2 linked regions of the Diceros bicornis minor genome follow. The protein of the gene in region 2 interacts with the protein of the main gene of each other region in a pairwise test. Links are inferred from orthologs where the notes say so. Each region holds a gene or a part of one and is shown on either strand. Other genes may lie near its edges.

Region 1 (3,745 bases), on a different chromosome or scaffold from region 2:
GGGTTAGCTTTTCACAGACTGGGGTTTGCTGAATGAACAAAGATAAATTGAATTCTTAATACAACTAGACTAAATGCTTATAGATTTTCCTGTTTTACAGCTCTGGTCTCTAAATTTTATCGGTAAATTTAAAATCCAGACGACTTAGATTCAGCTTTGCTATTGTGTCCTAATAGTTCTTTCCTTAATAAGTCTCAGTGGAAGCTATAGAATCTTAGAAAGGTAAAATATATTCCTGGGAAAACATCCAAAAATGGATAACCAAGATTTACGCTCCCAAAGACCATGATCCTGTGGAAGAAAGGAGAGAAGTACAGCTGCTTTTCAGTAGTCCTTCCCTCCACCTTCATCTGGGTGGTGTGCCTGGGAGAGGCCAGAGGGGGAGGCAAGAACTGTGCATCTTGCAGGGCCTCACAGCTGCAGCTCCAAGGAATGCCCTTGTAGGTAATGGGAGACCCAAGGACAGTCACCCTAAGCAATCACAGCAGCACCTTTCCTGGGGGATATGGTAATGCTTTATGTGCACAGATAAATGCTTGTGATGCTTTCCACTATGGCCAGCAACTTGTTTAGATCAAGACTCAGAAAATGCATGAAAATATACGACCTAACCAGTCAGGCAGGAGAGGAGATGTCACGCGTGCCCTTTGAGGAAAGCCATCTCCTGTTGGCGACCCTCGCTCAATTGAGAGGGACAAGGTTAAGTAGGCATCTAGGAATATCCTGAAGGGAAACACGGGTAACTCGTAAGCTGCCTTAACTTATTTTTGGAAATATATAAGGTATAAAAGATGGGTGGGGCTGGGTTCCTGTGCCCTTCTGACCTCGCCCGCACACAGGTCGCATCATCGCTACCTGCCCTCTAGACTAGGGAGACAAGGGTCTGAGTCTCGGGCCTCTGAGAGCCTGTTTGGCAATGAACCATGGTAACCTCATTACACCCAAACGCACACCTGGGAAAGTTTTGTTTTTTTCTGTTTCAATTCATATATTTAATTTTCTCTCCAAATAAACGAGACTTCACTCTGCACGGTTTTGAATCCTACTTTTAAAATGTGCTTTCTGCTGTGTCTTTAAATATTCGGGGGCGGGGGGGTTATAACGGCAGTGCTACTTTGCGTCTCAGAAAATGCGAGGCTAACTACCCTGGTCGCCTCCCCATCTGCCGGCTCTCTCTCGGTGGTCCCCTGCCCTGGCCCGGATGAGGTCGCGCCGCAGGATTCGCGCCCAGGCTAGGGGCGCAAAGGTCTGCTCCCGCGCGGCTGGGCACGCGGCTGGCAGGTGGCCTCCAATCCCTCTGCGCCCCTCCGCCCCCGGCCTGGCCCCGCCCCGCGCCCGCCCGCTCCGCGCGCATTGGTGCCGCCGCCTGTCGGTCCCCGCGCTCTGGGGAGGGGGCGCCGCGGGGCTGCGGTCCCTCTGCAGAGGGCTCCTTGCTCCGGCTGCGACCGTGACTTCCCGGCTCCCTGGGCGCCTGGCCCCGCGAGCGCCCCCCCGACCTCGGCAGCGGGGTCGGACAGGGACCCCGGCGCCCTCGGTAAGTGGAGGGCGAGGAGATTGCGGGAGAAGAGGGTGCGGGCCACTGTCCGGTCCGCTGACCGCCTGGGCGGTGGAGAGGGCGGGAGATCCACTGGACACTGGGAACCCGGGCCCCCCGAGATGGCCGAGGTAAGAACCGGGAAGGCCGTCAGTCCAGGCATCTCAGCCAGCGCGACCCTGCTCAGCTCTGCCCACCTACCCTCTTCGGGTTACAGCCCGTCCTAGAAGCATGGGTTGCCGGTAGCCTTTTTCCTTCTTTACCCTTTTTTGGGGGAAATGTGATTTTGGGTTCCTGGCCATTATAATTGTGCAGATAGATTGAAGCTGGGTTACCTGCTCCACGCCCCTGGCACTTTCCGTTTTGAGTACTTGATGCTGCGCGCTGGCTCCTGCCACGAGGCGCACCGAGCCAGGAGAGACGCCTTCCTCCAGGAGGAAGCTTCGTCCACATCTGGCTCTGGGAGAGATTCGCTGGGTTGCGCTTTGCCTCTGTGCTTCTCTGCTCAAGGAAAAAGGGAAGGGGCATTTTCTGTGGCATTGGACTTATGATTCTCTCAGGAAATGATAACAGGGAGTTTAAGATTACTGAGGCGATAAAACTATCCCTGCAGGTTAAAGACGAATCGTTTGCAGTCTAACATTCTGCAAAGTTTTATTGTCTACAGGCTGCATTTTCCCCATTTCAGTTAGGTTTTTGTTTGAATATTTGTTTTATTTCTACAGTGTGGTAGACATTCAAGTGAGCTTCACAAACAGTTATTGTCTTTGGGCAATCCAGGTTAGTTTCAAATGATACGTTCCTAAACGTGATCTAATTACATCCTCTGGTTAATAAAAACTCTTAGGCACTGAGAACTCAAGAGAGGTGAGAAGACAAAGAGAGCTATAACCAGCTGTGGTTCTGGTGCTTATGGAAGCATTATATGAGGAGGGACACAGTAAAATGTTCGCATTTTAGCTCCATTCTTGTTCTAGGATGACTTTGTCTTTCTGTTAGAGGCATGGAGTATGTAGCAGCCAACCTAAGGGTATATTTACTTAGATCATAAACTGATTTTCAGAGTTCCAGTTCCTTCTGTGGTTCATAGAATCAAGAGCTACTGAAATAAACCTTCAACAATGAAGGATTTACATAAAAACAGTACAAGGAAAGAGTCTCTTTGCTTATTTTAGGACATCCGTCAACTAAAATTCTTAGGAATTTTGGTAGATGATCACTTCATATCTCTGTTCATTGGTACCGTCATACCATTCTGTGGATTAATTTTAAAATATACCTGTATATTTATATATAACTAATCAGTTTGCCAATTGCATAGCCTATTAATGTATATTTGGCTTTCAAATTACTTCCAGAACCAAGAAAATAAAATATAAAGAATTTCAAAAGCTCGATTTTCAAATAGCAAGAATTCAGTCTAATCTTGGTTTAATTATGAGTTGATGGGCTTGTGTTATGGTTAAATGGCTGTTAAACAATTTTATAAATTTTTGACTAGTGAATCTAGTGCAGATTAGCATCGCCAAGCAATTCATTTTTCTGACGAAACTCTTAAAGCCCAGTTTCAGAGCACAGGCTTCAGAAACAGGCAATCTTGGGTTGAATCTGAGCTCTGTTACCTACTAGCTGTGTAATCTCAGGCACATTGCTTAACCTCTCAAGCCCCAGTGTCTTCATCTGTTGATGGTGATACCACCACCTACTTACTTTGGAGTGTTGTGGGGAGGAATAGAGATGTATGTAAAAGTGCTCAGCGCTTCCTAATACACAGGAGTTGCTCAATAAATGTCAGCTATTATTATCATTCACTCTGACTGACCTGCAACTCTGTGCTCATTGTGGAGAATGTCTGAACAGCAGATACTTGGGGGAAAAATGTCAAGATTATACAAGTAAATTTAAGAGTGGAAAATGACAGTAATGTTAAATTTCCCAAGAGTATGTATGAAAAGTAGCACCTCGTTGGCGGAACATACGTTTTTAGAACAGAAGCCTTATGGTATAATGGGAAGAACACTGGAGAGTCAGAGTCTTCAGTTCTAACTCTGGCTGTGACCTTATCTAACTGGCTTTTGGCAGGCCAACTGCCCACTCTGGAGCTCAGTTTCTCCATCGGGCTGGACTTGAATAATCTCTAAGATCCTTTGCAGCTTCAGAATTCGTTATTGCATGTAATAAAAATTACACTAGCTTGCTTATCACCCTCCC
Region 2 (3,745 bases):
CCGTCCTTGGTGTTGAGGTTGCTCTGAGAGAGGGGCTGTGCGGAGGTGACCTTCTGGGAGAGGGAGACCCGCTCCTCATTCTGCAGCGCGGCAGGCAGGTCAGAAAGGAGATTTGGGCCACTGTCACTCTCTGGCCTCCCGCGCCTCGAATTCTCTCTTTTGGTCTCCTTCCAACGGGAGGGAGTGAGGATCCACCTTGGGCTTCAAGGTCCTGCAGGCATCGGGAGCACCAAGTGGGTGTCGGGTGATTGGAAGCAGTGGGGAAGGGAGATGTGGTGTCACCAGTCCCGACCACTGGCAGCGCGCGCGCGTGAACAGGGAAAAGGCGCCGGTCTCCCGTGTTTCTCCCGCCTCTCATTTCTCCCTAGACACTGCCAGGGCTGTCCCGGGTGACTCAGAGTTGCCCGGGGTCGCGTGGATGCCCGTCCCCATCCTCCCTGGATAGCCTGCTTCCGCGTCCCACAGCGCCCCGCACACCCGCCACGTCCCCGGCCCGCGGCGCTCGGGGGCGGCCCCCTACCCGGAAGGTGTGGGTGCACGGGTGGGAAACATTAACCACCACCACACCGCCCACAAAAAAGCCCCCAAAGCAAAAACCGCTGTACACCCATGGCAGGCGGGGCCCGGCGCCAAGGTGAGCTGTTCGTTCGCCGCCGAGGCGGCGATTCCCCCGGACAGCTGCGGCAGCGACAGCAGCTGCGCGGCCGCCAGCTCGGCCCTCTTCCTTCCTCCGCCCTCTCCGGCCGCCGCACCCCCACCTCTTCCCCTCTCCCTGCCTCCTCCCTTCTTGCCCTCTCGCGGGCCACGCACACAGCCGGGACACCCTCGGCACTCGGCTGCTCACACTGCGGCTTAGCCTGGCCGACCTGGCACCGTGGCCACGGCGGCTCGGGGAGCGTGCGGGGCGCAGGGGCGGCAGCCCAGCGGGCTGGGGTGGAGCCCCTCTCCTCCCAGCCGCGACCCCCTGCCCACGCTGCTCCCCTAATCCCGGCCTCGCAGCCACACGAGCACCTGAGCGGGGACCGGGCGGCGGAGGCGCAGGCCCGCCGGCCTGGCCTCGGAGAAAACAGCGGGGGCGGGGCGGCCAGGAGGAGGGGCGGGGCGCGCGGGAGGCAGTGAGTGACGCGCGCGCCAGCCAACCAGCGCCCGCCGCTCCGACGTGGGGCGGGAGCGGGTGGGCTCCGCGGGGAGGAGGCAGGGGCCCGGGCGCGGGAGGCGGGGGCCGGCGGGAGGAAGGGGAGGAGGCGGAGGCGGGCGAGGCGGCGGCGGCGGTGGCGGCGGCGGCGGAGGGCAGGCTGCGCCGGGACTGTCTGCCGAGCTCCGCGGCGGTGCCTGTGAGTGCAGGAGCGCGGGAGGCAGAGGGGAGCGCGGCGAGCGCGGCGCGGGACGTCTCCGGCGGCGCGGACAGCGGCGCTGGGTGTGGGGAAGCAGCGGCAGCAGCAGCGGCGGCCGCCTTTCCGCCGCCGGGGACGCCGAGGCGCGGCTGGTGGCACTGACATCGCGGCCCTGCCTCTCCTCCCTCGCCCCCGGCCCTCCCCATGTGATCGGCTTTAATCCCGGCAGTGTGCGCGCGTGGGGCTCCATTCCGCGGTGCCCGGTCTCCGTGCCAGGGTGGGTGCTCGGTGTGCGCTTCTCCTCCCCATCCCCCTTCCCCCAAGAATAAAAGAAGAACCGAGAGGCGTGCTCAGAAAATAAATAAATAACCAGCACACACGCGCAGCCCGGAGCGGAGTCGGCGGGGCTGGCGGCGGAGGAGGAGTGAGGCGGCGGCGGCGCGGGGACGCGCGGAGAGGCAGCAACTTTGAAGCCAGCTCAGAGCGCGGAGCTCCGGCCGAGCGGCGTGCAGCGCGGCGGCGGCGGCGTTGAGTGTCCCGCCGGTCCGGTCGGGGTGTGCAGTCGGACGGACGAGCAGCGCGTCGCTGTCCCCCGGCGGCTGGAGATGTCCGAGCCCAAGGCAATTGATCCCAAGTTGTCGACGACCGACAGGGTGGTGAAAGGTAAGCGGCGCGCCGCGGCCGCCGGGTGCACCGGGTGCCGCAGGCTCCTGGGCGGCTCGCTGCCCCTCCCCCGCCCGGGTTCTCCTGCTCCAGCCGCCGACCTTCTAGGATATTGTGCAACCCTGAAACCCCTTCCCCCACGCCTCCCACCCTGCCCACTTGGGGCATTTTTATTGACGGGGGCGTCAGTTGGCAAATGGCTGAGCCGCGGGCAGGCGGCGGCGGGGGTGGCGGTGGCGGGAGGGGGCGCCCGGGGGGTGGTTGCTGGCAGGGTGTAGCTGCTGTGACAGAAATAGGAAGTGGGTGGCTGCTCGCAGCCTTGCATGGGATCGGGTTTATGGTTTTCTTTTGCAGAGGGAGGGGTGATTTATGGCTGAAAAAAAATTAATGTGGCATTTTTATGTGGCCGTGGCTTTCCACCGACTGCCTCGCTCGGGCACGGTTCTCTCGGCGCCCCATTGCAGCAGTTCCCTCGGCGGCGCCCCCTCCGCCTCGCCCTGCCCTGGAAGGGCCTGCACAGGACTCGCGAGAGGGCGGGAGAGCGTGGGGGAGCCGGGCGCTCCCTGGGGCGCGGGGCCGGGGCGGCGAGGGGGCGCGCGGGGCGGGGAGCCTCCCGGGGCCCGCCGCCCCCGCCCCGGGATTCCCCCGCAGGCCTGAGACCGACGCGGGAGGCAGTTCCCCCCGCCGCCTCCCCCGCCGGCCTGTCACGCTCTTGAATGGTCCCGGCTGGAGCACGCCTCCCGGCGGTAGCCTCGCCTCCTCCGGGCCTCCGGCACCCCCTCGTTAACGGGCTGTTTGATTCCTAATACTGGCTCTTCTCCCCTGCCCCGGATCACATACCCTTGGCAGAGATGGCTCTGGGATTTCTGGCGAAGAGAAGCCGGGGGCCTGGGGTGAGGAAGGGGACAGGCAGTGGTCTCCTGCTCCCTTGCACGGGGGACTCCGCAGTCGTCTCGTCTTCCCTGTTGGGTGGGGGAGGAAGCATCCTACGAATCCTGGAAGGATGAGACAACAGAGCAGATCAGCCAGGATTAAGTAGCGTCCCTCATTCCTGGGGTCAGGACGCGGAGCAAAGCAGGGATGGACATGGGCTAGGTGCGGAGCGGGCCTCTGAAATTGGAAACAGCGCTGGCTGGTGTAGAGGGAGAGAGAGAGTGTGTGTATGTGTTTATTGTATGTAGAACAGAGATAGTATCTGATGTGGCCAGAGATTGCAAGTAGAGTGCAAGGCAATAAAGTCATTTGCACCATGAGCACTTAGGTGAAGTAACCCCGCAGCCTAAAGACCAGGAATCTTCTTCTGGGGCTCAGAACTGTTCATCGGTTCCAGTCAGGTCTGCTCAGTTTTTAAAGTAATGCGTGTGTGTGTGTGTCTTGTGTGTGTTCGTGATGATGGGGGAAATTGTGTTCTCTTTTGTAAGAAAGAATAAAATATCTTCTTTTGTTTTGGTTGTATTAGAATCATTCCTGCTTCAGTGCAGTATTCATAGATCCATGAAAATAAGGAAGAAATATCTCTGCAAAAATGACTCAAAATAGGACTACAGATGCACAACTATTCTTTCTGCAGGCATGGATCCTCATGTAAACAGTGAATTCAGAGTCATTCAGAAAAACTATGTTTTGCATTAAGGGCTTCTGTTGACATTTTCAAAAATTAAGACTGCTGAAGTATCAGAGAATAACAAATATCTATCTAATGTGTGATGGTTAGGTGTAACCCCTGTCTGTATGTTAAGATCACCTAT

Evidence for each region.
Region 1: the proteins of PPP3CA (region 2) and AKAP5 interact in binary tests that used the Homo sapiens proteins (3 or more experiments, as listed by UniProt). The link is inferred for Diceros bicornis minor from reciprocal best matches to the Homo sapiens genes PPP3CA and AKAP5.

What each region holds. Positions count from the first base shown.
Region 1 is NC_080763.1:13,546,438-13,550,182, forward strand, and holds the start of AKAP5 (A-kinase anchor protein 5), read left to right. Parts: upstream 1-1,491; 5' UTR 1,492-1,534; intron 1,535-3,745. UniProt on the Homo sapiens protein: Multivalent scaffold protein that anchors the cAMP-dependent protein kinase/PKA to cytoskeletal and/or organelle-associated proteins, targeting the signal carried by cAMP to specific intracellular effectors.
Region 2 is NC_080747.1:83,915,236-83,918,980, reverse strand, and holds the start of PPP3CA (protein phosphatase 3 catalytic subunit alpha), read left to right. Parts: upstream 1-1,389; 5' UTR 1,390-1,939; coding exon 1,940-1,997; intron 1,998-3,745. UniProt on the Homo sapiens protein: Calcium-dependent, calmodulin-stimulated protein phosphatase which plays an essential role in the transduction of intracellular Ca(2+)-mediated signals. Many of the substrates contain a PxIxIT motif and/or a LxVP motif.